2 linked regions of the Arabidopsis thaliana genome follow. The protein of the gene in region 1 interacts with the protein of each later gene in a pairwise test. Each region holds a gene or a part of one and is shown in the gene's direction. Other genes may lie near its edges.

Region 1 (4,988 bases):
GATGTTGGTTATGACAAATAAAACTTCTTTTCATATAGGAAAGTTAAAAAAAATTACAAATTAACCAAATCTCTCTATAAATTAATAATTCAACAAATTAATATCTCTATAAATTAATAAAATTTCACGTTCCCGACATTATTAATTTATAGAAGTTTTACTGTATTCCTTTGTGAATTTCCTTTTCATAATTTAAAACTAAGTTGGCAACCTTTTCATATCATAAATAAGTAAATTATTTCAAACTATTTTTCTGGATTTTTAATCTGTTCATTGGAGTCATATCAAGTCTTGCTTCGTATGATTTGTTCTTCCTACTCATAAGAGCTTTGTAGACATACTTAGATTTACTAGACTATGAATTGTGCAAATTTTGTAATGATTAATTTTAATCATCTTATTACTTTCTCGATTCAAGATGAATTACGGACAAAGATGAATGTCTGAACCTTTAGCGTTCAATCTTTTATTTCTTATCTTTTCTTAGTGATGCATATAATGCTAAAAGAAAAAGATGTTAGCAAAGGAGAGACTTTTGGATTATGTATGATAATGGAAAAAATGTCACATGGATTCATCACAGTGAAAATGATGAAGATGAAAGTATGACTCAAAAGGATTGAGTAGTTAAAAATTTGAGAATGACCAGGGAGAAAGGAAGAAAATCAAGGAGGAAAATATTTTAGTAAATTTAGATGATTACATTTGAGTTTTTTTTTTTTTGTCACAAGTGTGTTTTATTGATATTATAGAGCCAAAAGTAACAGGCCAATAATTCACAAAGACTAAAATAAACAAGCCCAAAGAAAAAAAAAAAAAACAGCCCAAAAGCCCAAATGAATAAACCCTAAACTGAAGGAAGAGAACAAATGATTGTTGTGCGCCGCATAGAAAACACGTGTCAGTGGGAAACATTTTGAAGGACACATAGGAACTGGAAGAGAAGGGAGTCGCCGTCAGAAGCTTCAATTCCGGCCGAAACACCGGAAAACTTGTTTAATTGGCATAGCTCACTCGTCGCTCAAAAGATTAATGGCGAAATTTCAGTTGTAGCTTGGACGAGAATTTGACTCCACGAAGTGCAAATCTTCTTCTTCTTCTTTTTCTTTTTCTTCCTCTTCTTCTTCAATCAACATCTTTTTAACTCTTAGGGTTCATCAATCTTTGAACTACAAGCAGAAGATAAAAAAAAAACAAATCAAATCTAAATCCGGTCAAAAAACCGGAGAAAAAACCGGCTAAAGACGCCGGAGAAAAGCCCGACGAAACAAGAAAGAGGGTATCTTGCTCTCGGGAGATAAGCCAGCCACCACCGCTAAAAGTAGCCGGTCGATGCCGGAAGCTGAGCCAGCCAACGCTTCTAAGGAAGCCAGCGATGCCGGAGTAGAAGCCGACCAAACACTGCTGATAAAGCCAGTCATTGCTGGCCAAAAAAGCTGAAACTCTCTGAAAGATGAGGAGAGAGAAGAGAGAGAAAACCCTATCAACGTGAAAATAATTACATTTGAGTTTATATACTCAAAACTTGGAAGTAAAGGTAAATTAAAATATGATTGTTAGAAACAATTACACCAATAATAAAACGACACGTGTACACTACGTAGACGTTAGATAACCACAGCAAAAGGATATGTATTCTCGAGGCGGGAGAGAGAAAGAGAAGAGAGTGAGAGAGATCGAAGAACATTTACACACATCAATGGCGTCTCTGCAACTCTGCGACGGTTATCTTCTCTTCAAGCCCTCTGTTTCTCCTCGATTCCTCTCTCAACGCATTTCTCATCGCCTAATCCCTAAAGCCTCATCTTCTCCTCCTCCATCTCCATCACCATCATCGTCCTCTTCATCCTTATCTTTCAGTCGGCGGGAGCTTCTGTACCAATCGGCAGCTGTATCACTCTCGCTTTCTTCCATTGTTGGACCAGCGAGAGCTGATGAACAGTTATCCGAATGGGAAAGAGTGTTTCTCCCAATCGATCCCGGTGTTGTTCTTCTCGACATTGCTTTCGTCCCCGACGAACCTAGCCGAGGTAATTACTCCTTCTTCTTCTTCTTTAATTTTCCGTTCTTAAGTTCGAAATTGTTTTACTTACTGATTCTTGCTTGAAATGTCAATTAGGGTTTTTACTTGGAACGAGACAGACTTTGTTAGAGACTAAAGATGGTGGAAGCACTTGGAATCCACGTTCGATTCCTTCAGCTGAAGAAGAAGATTTCAATTATAGATTCAATTCGATTAGCTTTAAAGGCAAAGAAGGATGGATTATTGGCAAACCTGCGATTTTATTGTACACTGCTGATGCTGGAGAGAATTGGGATAGGATTCCTCTAAGTTCTCAGCTTCCTGGAGATATGGTATTATATCTTGTTTCTTCTGGTGTTTTCAGAGATTTCTATTGTTGTTGTTTTTGTTTATGAGAATGTGTTTGTTACAAATGTTGTTGTAGGTGTTTATAAAAGCGACAGAAGATAAGAGTGCAGAGATGGTTACTGATGAAGGTGCTATTTATGTTACTTCAAACAGGGGATATAACTGGAAAGCTGCTATTCAGGAAACTGTTTCAGCTACCTTGAACAGGTTCGTTACCCTCTCTTTGGTTTATACTAGGGAATTGGCATTGTCTTTTCCATCCAGATTCAATAGAGATCAAAGAGTAGACCTTAATTCAGTATTTCCTATGGTCTTGCAGAACAGTATCCAGTGGAATCAGTGGTGCTAGTTACTACACGGGAACTTTCAGTGCTGTTAATCGTTCACCTGATGGAAGATATGTCGCTGTTTCGAGCCGTGGTAACTTCTTTCTGACATGGGAGCCTGGGCAGGTGAGACTCAATTAAGGCTATGAAGAAATACATTTATACTTGTGGTTTGCTTTTGAACTCTTAGTCCTTTTTATGACATAGCTAGGTGAAGTTTTAGCACTTGCTTAGGCTCAGTCTTATTGCTGATTTTGATTTTGATTAAAAAGTACTTTGTCTAAGTAAACGGTATTATGTGTCTTACAAGGGACTACCAATCCCTCTCTTTGTTCTTGTGTGTGGTTTGCGTGCTCTTTAGACTGTCATTCACCATAGTATTGGTATATTGCAGCCTTACTGGCAACCACACAATAGAGCTGTTGCTAGAAGAATTCAGAACATGGGATGGAGAGCTGATGGTGGTCTTTGGCTTCTTGTTCGTGGTGGAGGACTTTATCTTAGCAAAGGTACTGGGGTAAGTACAGCAGCAAGACTCTCCTCACTTCTTGCAGTTTTATTCTCTGAAAATTTCCTTTTCTTCTCGTTTTGGTATTTACTTGCGAGTTTCTGGGTTCTTTTGCCACTTAGAGGATGAAACCAAATCTAGCCATGAACTAAGAAACACAATTTTCTTTTGTTATCTGCTATTCCCTGGACTAATAACAAGGAAAATAAAATAAAAAAACTGTTTCCTTGTGATTTAAATTCTCTTCCAATGTTTCAACTTCCAACTGCATCTGATTTTGATCTCCTCTGTTATAATTGCTCAGATTACAGAGGAGTTTGAAGAAGTTCCAGTACAAAGCCGTGGCTTTGGCATTCTAGATGTTGGATATCGCTCAGAGGTAAATGAGTTTCCACGATGATCACTCAAAACTCTGAATCTGCTCCGATCTTTACACCATTTTTTTTTTTTTTTGGGTATTGCAGGAAGAAGCATGGGCAGCAGGAGGCAGTGGCATACTACTGAGAACAAGAAATGGAGGCAAATCATGGAACCGTGACAAAGCTGCTGATAATATCGCAGCTAACCTATACGCAGTCAAGTAAGTCTCTAACTCAAACATCAAAACACACTCCTTCAATACCATCATTGGGAACCATCATTGTTCCCACCCATCTCATCTCATCTCAAATCTCAAATACTTTAGCATAAACGAACAAACTAATCAGTTCTCAATTCCTGTCTGTTTTTTGTTGCAGATTTGTGGATGACAAGAAAGGATTTGTGCTTGGCAACGATGGAGTCTTGCTCCGATATGTTGGCTGAAGAATTTAAAAATAAAAAAGAGGTTAAATTGAAATGGTTATGTTTCAATCCTTCTCTGTAAAGCCTTTAACTGCGTTTTAATACTACATTACACTATTGTATACATTCCCTTCACAAAATATATATAATTTTGTGTTTCTTCTGAAAAGCTTTGTTTCTCACTGTTAGTTGGAGTTGGATTTGATCTCATCTATGTATGTTTATAACCTATTTTCAGCCAAGAAATTTCATTGTGTAGGCAACCAAGAAAGATGACAAGAAATCTTCGCCAGAGATTTTATTACTCACTTTATTGTCAATTCATAAGAGAAACATATATTGATAAATCCGTTTGTGGATTAGACCGCTTTTTATTTACTATTTAAAAATTGTCAATTACTACATATAAATAAATTTGGTATGCGGTGGGTTGTTGTCCGTGGAACGGTGACTGAACCGAACAATGCGGTGCGGTTCAAATAGTAACGAATGTTTTTGCATATATATGTTTTTGTTATTATTTGAACTGCACTGCACTTTATCCGCAGTTGAACCTAATTGAACCTAATGAAACTTAAACTGGTTTAGTTTGCTAATATTATTTTTATTTTATTTTTGAATAACTTTTTTTTCTTTTCTTTTTTGTCATCTGATCATTTTTCTTTTTTGCTTTCGTTATGGATAAGCTGTAACGCGGTTTTTGTTTTGAACATTAATAATAATTAATTCTATTCTTCGAAAAAAGAAAAATATATAATAGTGTGTCGTTTTCCGGTGGCGACGAGAGGGAGAACCGGAGAAGAGATCTCTCGTTCGTTTTTTTCCCGGTAAATCCGGCGAGAAAAAGTTCACATTGAATCTACGAGAAAATTTCCTTCCATTTCACTCCACGAGTTTTCACCTCTCTTGTTCAATCTCTCAACGTCTCTCCCTCGTTTCTCGTTTTCGCTTTTTCCCCTTTTCCTCTTCTATTTTACCGGAATCCGAGAATTTTTGATCA
Region 2 (7,695 bases), on another chromosome or scaffold:
CTCACTTACTTCTCCATTATCGTTTTATGTACCCTTTTTTTTACGTACCAATCAAAATCGCATCTTTCTTTTCAAATATAATTATGTATATATACGCATGTGCAGCTGCTGCGTGTCTATGCATACTTGAGTCTAAATAACTATCCCTGACTATGATATGTCGTTGGTTACGAATGTGATCTTTAGTTAAAATAACAAGAATAATATCACACAGACAAAAACAAATAAGTGCATATTATTTCAACAAGATTGGAGTGGGTGGGCCTAAAGGCTTAAAAAAATAGAGCACATGCACAGAGGACCATTGATTCCCCAGAGACAATCAGACATCTGAGACCCTAATCGCATCAAGCCGCGTGCCCTTCTTCCATTAACTAATTTTGTGTGTTTGTTTTGGCTTAAACCTGAGAATTACATTGATTACTTTATTTGTTTCATTTTCTCCATGAAGGAGATAAAAAGAGTAAAAATTAGAGATTGATGAAAACTGAAAAAGAAACTGAAGTCGGTAAGATAGGTGTTGGAACTTGGAATAATGGCTTGGCTTTGAACAAAACGCATGCACCATTCATTGCCTTCAAGTTTTTTGCAATTAGCTTTGTTTTTGTTTTTGTTTTTGTTTTTGGGAGAGGTTCTAATGACCAAGAATCAAGAGCGTTGTCTAAAATCTAAACCATATGATACGGTTTTTAATATTCTCATGCATTAAAATGTACTATTTCTATATATGATCTTATATACCCAACATCTTGGAATTAATAGTTTGATTCGTTATCATTTGAAGAAGCTCTCAACAGCTTCAAAAAGCGAAATGTAGCATCATGAAGCGGTATCCAATTTCAAGAAGCTACCAGTAGCTTGTGGAAGTTTTCAAGAAGTTTTCCGGAAGATCCAACGATTGTGGAAGCCCCTCATAGTTTTTGGAAGTTTTCAATGATATTAGCAGCGTTGAGCGTGGCATGGCTAGACAATGTAAGAGATTTGATTTGCAACACATTTGATGTATTTTTTTACTTTTGAGTTACAATTGTAATGTATTATTGATTTTGCCCAGTTATGATTTATAAACCCTACAATTTAGTATCAAAGTTTTTATTTAAAATTCTGAATCTGACATTAATGATATCTGGCTCATTTACAGAGCCAATGAGATGGATGATGTTCGAAACTGGATTGGCCATTATTTATCTTTTTTTTATCTGGAGAATCTCGAGGTTGGCACAAACATTATCATATTAGCCTTTAGAAATTGGATTGGCTAATCACACATTTATATATATTCTTACCAAAATAAATCACCTCTCCCGTAATTGAAAAATATCTAAATACTGTAAGTCTGAAAAAATTCACAAGGGTTCGAAGAAAGAAGGAAATATCTAAGCATCATTAATAAACTATCTGTAACCTGAGGGAAAATCATTTCATGTTGAAATATGTGGATTTGGAAGTTTTATAATCTATCTGAATTTGTGAAATTTGATAACAAGTAAGATTTGTTTCTTAACACAAATCTAAAATTTGTTTTCTAATTAGGTTTGAGAGAGAGAGAGAAAGAAACGCTTTGTATGATACACATCTAGGCTATGAATGAAGGCAGCGGACAAAGCGGTCTAATTTGTCTGCGGTTTAGTCCATCTCATTTTTGGGGTGGACAATAAACCGCTGCGGACCAAGTTTATTTGTATGTAAAAACGGTCCGCAGATGGTCCGCAACGATTTTCTTCTATTTTTTTAAGTCCAGACCACTGCGGACTATAATTGATGAATGATAAATAAAAAACGGTCTGATCCGTTGACGGTTTTGTCCGCCCCAACCGCCATAACCATTCAAACCCCTAATTATTTCATCAGATAACATTATACACTAATAATCATTGCACTCAAATATGTCACACAATCATATAATAAAATAATAACAATGATTAAAATGAAAAAATTGTTGTGGCGCCGCATAAAATAGAAATCGTGAGAGACGACGTCATCTAAAAATTGCCTTGCTGTCCACTTTTCACTTTGTCCTCTCTTCTCATCTCCGTTCACTTCCACGGCGTTTCCTCAGCCGCCGATTTTATTTATTTCCCAAAATACCCATCACCTATAGCGCCACAATCCTCTACATCACACCCTAATCTCATTACCATACACCACCCAACGAACACGCGCCACTTCATTTGTTAGTATCTAAAATACCAAACCTACCCTTAGTTCCACACGTGGCGTTTCCTGGTTTGATAACAGAGCCTGAGTCTCTGGTGTCGCTGGTGTTTATAAACCCCTTCATATCTTCCTTGGTGATCTCCACCTTTCCCTCACCTGATATTTATTTTCTTACCTTAAATACGACGGTGCTTCACTGAGTCCGACTCAGTTAACTCGTTCCTCTCTCTGTGTGTGGTTTTGGTAGACGACGACGACGATAATGGAGGAGCTAGATCGTTCACGTGCTTTTGCCAGAGACGTCAAACGTATCGTCGTTAAGGTTCGTTGAGATACGTTCGCATTTTCAGATTTTGTTGTTGATGATTAGATTCTTAATTTGTGATAATGTGGAAATGAATATTATGTAATTTAAGTGCATCTAAACTCTTTGTTTATTGAATTCGTGAATCTGAATATATTTTCTAATCCCAGAAACTAAAACTTCTCGTATGAATCTTAATTTGCATGTCATTAGAGACGAATGAATAATCAGAATATTCGAGGGATTTTTTTTCTGTTTGGTGATTAAAATTTTGGATTTTTGTTTATATTATGTAAAAAAAAAAAGGTTGGGACAGCAGTTGTTACTGGAAAAGGTGGAAGATTGGCTCTTGGTCGTTTAGGAGCACTGTGTGAACAGGTAATTGTCAAATTTTAATAATCTCCTTTTTGTATTGTGTTTATAAAAAAGTGTAAAGGTTTCATTTTTTTTCACGAAAGACATGTGAAATTATTCATGCGTAGTGGCAACTTTAATTTGTAAAAAAATATATATATATAATGTCAGCTTGCGGAATTAAACTCGGATGGATTTGAGGTGATATTGGTGTCATCTGGTGCGGTTGGTCTTGGCAGGCAAAGGCTTCGTTATCGACAATTAGTCAATAGCAGGTTAAAGCTTAATGGCTACACTTCATTATTAATCCCTTTCCCTTATAACAACATTTGGAAACAAAAAAAAAAGGGTGATGATGGATGGACCATTTTGGCTTATGTTTTTATTGCTCAATAACAGTGACATGTGTTTATGTGTGTTATGATTTAAAAGTTTTGTTTTTTTTTGCTGATGGATTTGTTTTTTTTCTTTTTTTTTGTTAATGGCTTTTGCAGCTTTGCGGATCTTCAGAAGCCTCAGACTGAACTTGATGGGAAGGCTTGTGCTGGTGTTGGACAAAGCAGTCTTATGGCTTACTATGAGACTATGTTTGACCAGGTGATTTTTCCTTTGTTATCGAATTCTAGATTATTGTGTAAGACATCCAAATATTGATGCTGTTGTTTTTCTTTGGTTAGCTTGATGTGACGGCAGCTCAACTTCTGGTGAATGACAGTAGTTTTAGAGACAAGGATTTCAGGAAGCAACTTAATGAAACTGTCAAGTCTATGCTTGATTTGAGGGTTATTCCAATTTTCAATGAGAATGATGCTATTAGCACCCGAAGAGCCCCATATCAGGTTTGTCCCTTTTGACATGAACTTTTCTACACACTCTGAGATGTGAGGGATTCTTTGAATCTCGTAGTCTAATGTTCAGCTTCACTGGATCTTGATATATGCAGGATTCTTCTGGTATTTTCTGGGATAACGATAGCTTAGCTGCTCTACTGGCGTTGGAACTGAAAGCTGATCTTCTGATTCTTCTGAGCGATGTTGAAGGTCTTTACACAGGCCCTCCAAGTGATCCTAACTCAAAGTTGATCCACACTTTTGTTAAAGAAAAACATCAAGATGAGATTACATTCGGCGACAAATCAAGATTAGGGAGAGGGGGTATGACTGCAAAAGTCAAAGCTGCAGTCAATGCAGCTTATGCTGGGATTCCTGTCATCATAACCAGGTGAGGAACCTTCTAAGCTCACCATGCATAATGATAGGGTGATATGCTTGTTCAAATTTGGTTAGATGGTATATTGATATCTTTCTTGCTTCTGAAGTGGGTATTCAGCTGAGAACATAGATAAAGTCCTCAGAGGACTACGTGTTGGAACCTTGTTTCATCAAGATGCTCGTTTATGGGCTCCGATCACAGATTCTAATGCTCGTGACATGGCAGTTGCTGCGAGGGAAAGTTCCAGAAAGCTTCAGGTAATTGTGACTTATGCATGGCTTTCTTTCATGTTCGTAACGTCAAAAACCATTCTTGCTCGGCATAGAGTTACTTAACTTTTTTTTACATTTTGCTATAGGCCTTATCTTCGGAAGACAGGAAAAAAATTCTGCTTGATATTGCCGATGCCCTTGAAGCAAATGTTACTACAATCAAAGCTGAGAATGAGTTAGATGTAGCTTCTGCACAAGAGGCTGGGTTGGAAGAGTCAATGGTGGCTCGCTTAGTTATGACACCTGGAAAGGTAAGAAAGTATTCATGGCCATAGATAGTTGCTTTTTGTTGCTATGGCTTGGGCAAACATATTGTGCCAATGTAACCTCTCCTTATTATGTTTCTTATTTTGTGCTTGATAGATCTCGAGCCTTGCAGCTTCAGTTCGTAAGCTAGCTGATATGGAAGATCCAATCGGCCGTGTTTTAAAGAAAACAGAGGTGATCAGAGGACAATTGTTACCATATAGTTAATTTACATACTCTTGAGTTAAATAAGGGATATGACTATCCTCCTAGTTGACATACAATAGTTGTTTATGCTATTTGTTCTTTGTGGCAATTCCTTTTACAGGTGGCAGATGGTCTTGTCTTAGAGAAGACCTCATCACCATTAGGCGTACTTCTGATTGTTTTTGAATCCCGACCTGATGCACTTGTACAGGTATGTTAATAGTCAAAATTCATTTCCCTTCTTAATATGTGAATTTCCTAAAGCTGTGCTTTATCCACAAACCAAACAGATAGCTTCACTTGCCATCCGTAGTGGAAATGGTCTTCTGCTGAAGGGTGGAAAGGAGGCCCGGCGATCAAATGCTATCTTACACAAGGTACCATTGCCTCAGATTTCATATCATTATTTGCCTCAAAATTTATCACTACAGCTCTTTTAAGTTCATGGTAAATTTCTAGGTGATCACTGATGCAATTCCAGAGACTGTTGGGGGTAAACTCATTGGACTTGTGACTTCAAGAGAAGAGATTCCTGATTTGCTTAAGGTAAGAACAGATTTACAAGCTAGGAGCTGCAACAGTTCTTTTGTATCTTTTGTTAAACTGGAACCCACCATTTGCATTTGTGTTACAGCTTGATGACGTTATCGATCTTGTGATCCCAAGAGGAAGCAACAAGCTTGTTACTCAGATAAAAAATACTACAAAAATCCCTGTGCTAGGTCATGCTGGTATGGTTGCAAGTTTGTTTTTTCCAGAAGATTCTTTACTTGGATTGTGCTAGAGTGTGACGATGGCTTAATTGTGTACTTGCAGATGGAATCTGTCATGTATATGTCGACAAGGCTTGTGATACGGATATGGCAAAGCGCATAGTTTCTGATGCAAAGTTGGACTATCCAGCAGCCTGTAATGCGATGGTAAGAGAACTTTTTACCTTCCATCGAGATTTAATTAATACAGTGGGAGATTCTAAAGTTCAACTGACTCATTTCATCTTCTCTCGTCTCTTTCAGGAAACCCTTCTTGTGCATAAGGATCTAGAGCAGAATGCTGTGCTTAATGAGCTTATTTTTGCTCTGCAGAGCAATGGTACGTCATAAATGGCCCAATCATTTGTTGGTCTATCTTAACCATTTATTTGACCTCTTGTTACCTTCCATCTGGATGTCTCATAGATATACATGTAGCCTGTTTGATTATAAATATTGAATGGTCATCTCATGAAAACATTTCTAGAGTGGCATAACTCATGAGATATATTAAACTACAGGAGTCACTTTGTATGGTGGACCAAGGGCAAGTAAGATACTGAACATACCAGAAGCACGGTCATTCAACCATGAGTACTGTGCCAAGGCTTGCACTGTTGAAGTTGTAGAAGACGTTTATGGTGCTATAGATCACATTCACCGACATGGGAGGTAGAAACTCGACATAACAGGCATTGACTTTAGAAATTCTTTGCATATGTAGTGGAAATGTTCACTCGTTATCTTGTCTTGTATGTTGTTACGAGCAGTGCACACACAGACTGCATTGTGACAGAGGATCACGAAGTTGCAGAGCTATTCCTTCGCCAAGTGGATAGGTAAAGTACTGAATCTTTAACTTGCTTATTATCTGTCTTTGATTTTTCTTGGAAACTGACTGTAAGATGTTGCGACCTTGAACAGCGCTGCTGTGTTCCACAACGCCAGCACAAGATTCTCAGATGGTTTCCGATTTGGACTTGGTGCAGAGGTAAGTCAGAGACATACACATAAGTCTATAGATTAAAAACAAATAAAAAGAGGAAGAGTGAGTGATAAAAAAGTATTGGTTGTGGTATATAGGTGGGGGTAAGCACGGGCAGGATCCATGCTCGTGGTCCAGTCGGGGTCGAAGGATTACTTACAACGAGATGGTACAATTTTAGTTACTCAAAGCACCATTGTTATGTCAATAAAGACCCACAATAAGCCTTTTTTCCTATGCTTCTTTTAATTTTCATGGTGAAATGGTTGCAGGATAATGAGAGGAAAAGGACAAGTTGTCGACGGAGACAATGGAATTGTTTACACCCATCAGGACATTCCCATCCAAGCTTAAACAAGACTTCCGAGTGTGTGTTTGTGTATTTGGTTGAGACTTGAGGAGAGACACAGAGGAGGATGGGCTTTTTTGTTTCCTCTCTGCTTAGTACTCATATCCTATCATTATTATTATTACTACTACTTATTATTGAAACCCTCGCTTATGTAGTGGTTTTGATTTAGGGTTAGGATTGCACCAAAAATAAGATCCACTTTACCACTTAGTCTTGCTCATAAGTACGATGAAGAACATTTAATTAGCTTCTCTTCTTGTCATTGTAAGCTACCTACACATTTCTGATCTTTATCAAGATACTACTACTTTTCATTTCGCTTATCTATAAATATATTTCGATTTGCATTGGAAATCACAAGTTGAATCAGAACTGGAAACTCTTAACCATAAATTCTCAAAGATTGTGCTACATTTGAAAGCTAACAATGAACACAAGAAAAGAACCTCACAATCTCATTCTTAGGTACTTAGCTATCAACCTAACGTTTCACTGTTCCATGAACTCCTTAACATTCTTCAACCATAAAAAGTACTCTCGGTTCACTTTCCTCGTCATGTACTCGTGCAGGAAATTCGTCGTGCTAGCTTTCACTCCTCTGATCTCCAAAAACTTGTAGAACGTCTTCTTCAGATTCTCGTCCAAGTCTCTGCAAAAAGCGATGAAACACAAACCAACATTATAACCTCTCTGTTCATCATGCCTATCTCTATACAACCTTACACTTGCAATTATTATTCACAAAGGCTTACTCAAAATCAGGCCCTTCATTAGCCAGTTGATCCTCCAAAGAGTCCCCAGGATGTTTCACAGATAAAGCATCTATAGCAATCTCATCAGGAAAAGCCATACAG

Evidence for each region. The genes of interacting proteins can lie anywhere in the genome.
Region 2: the proteins of HCF136 (region 1) and P5CS1 interact in a two-hybrid assay, tested with the Arabidopsis thaliana proteins (one large-scale study listed by BioGRID).

Annotation. Positions count from the first base shown.
Region 1 is NC_003076.8:7,776,455-7,781,442, forward strand, and holds HCF136 (photosystem II stability/assembly factor, chloroplast (HCF136)), read left to right. Parts: upstream 1-1,562; 5' UTR 1,563-1,630; coding exon 1,631-2,030; intron 2,031-2,119; coding exon 2,120-2,355; intron 2,356-2,447; coding exon 2,448-2,578; intron 2,579-2,690; coding exon 2,691-2,823; intron 2,824-3,091; coding exon 3,092-3,214; intron 3,215-3,509; coding exon 3,510-3,584; intron 3,585-3,669; coding exon 3,670-3,785; intron 3,786-3,942; coding exon 3,943-4,009; 3' UTR 4,010-4,453; downstream 4,454-4,988. UniProt on the Arabidopsis thaliana protein: Essential for photosystem II (PSII) biogenesis; required for assembly of an early intermediate in PSII assembly that includes D2 (psbD) and cytochrome b559. Has been suggested to be required for chlorophyll a binding.
Region 2 is NC_003071.7:16,597,664-16,605,358, reverse strand, and holds P5CS1 (delta1-pyrroline-5-carboxylate synthase 1), read left to right. Parts: upstream 1-2,039; 5' UTR 2,040-2,419; coding exon 2,420-2,479; intron 2,480-2,767; coding exon 2,768-2,839; intron 2,840-2,986; coding exon 2,987-3,090; intron 3,091-3,309; coding exon 3,310-3,412; intron 3,413-3,492; coding exon 3,493-3,654; intron 3,655-3,758; coding exon 3,759-4,036; intron 4,037-4,133; coding exon 4,134-4,284; intron 4,285-4,385; coding exon 4,386-4,550; intron 4,551-4,662; coding exon 4,663-4,740; intron 4,741-4,873; coding exon 4,874-4,963; intron 4,964-5,042; coding exon 5,043-5,129; intron 5,130-5,211; coding exon 5,212-5,298; intron 5,299-5,386; coding exon 5,387-5,483; intron 5,484-5,568; coding exon 5,569-5,672; intron 5,673-5,768; coding exon 5,769-5,844; intron 5,845-6,025; coding exon 6,026-6,176; intron 6,177-6,274; coding exon 6,275-6,343; intron 6,344-6,428; coding exon 6,429-6,495; intron 6,496-6,587; coding exon 6,588-6,658; intron 6,659-6,761; and 3 more. Other genes in the region: AT2G39795 (Mitochondrial glycoprotein family protein), read right to left, coding at 7,331-7,490, 7,594-7,695. UniProt on the Arabidopsis thaliana protein: P5CS plays a key role in proline biosynthesis, leading to osmoregulation in plants.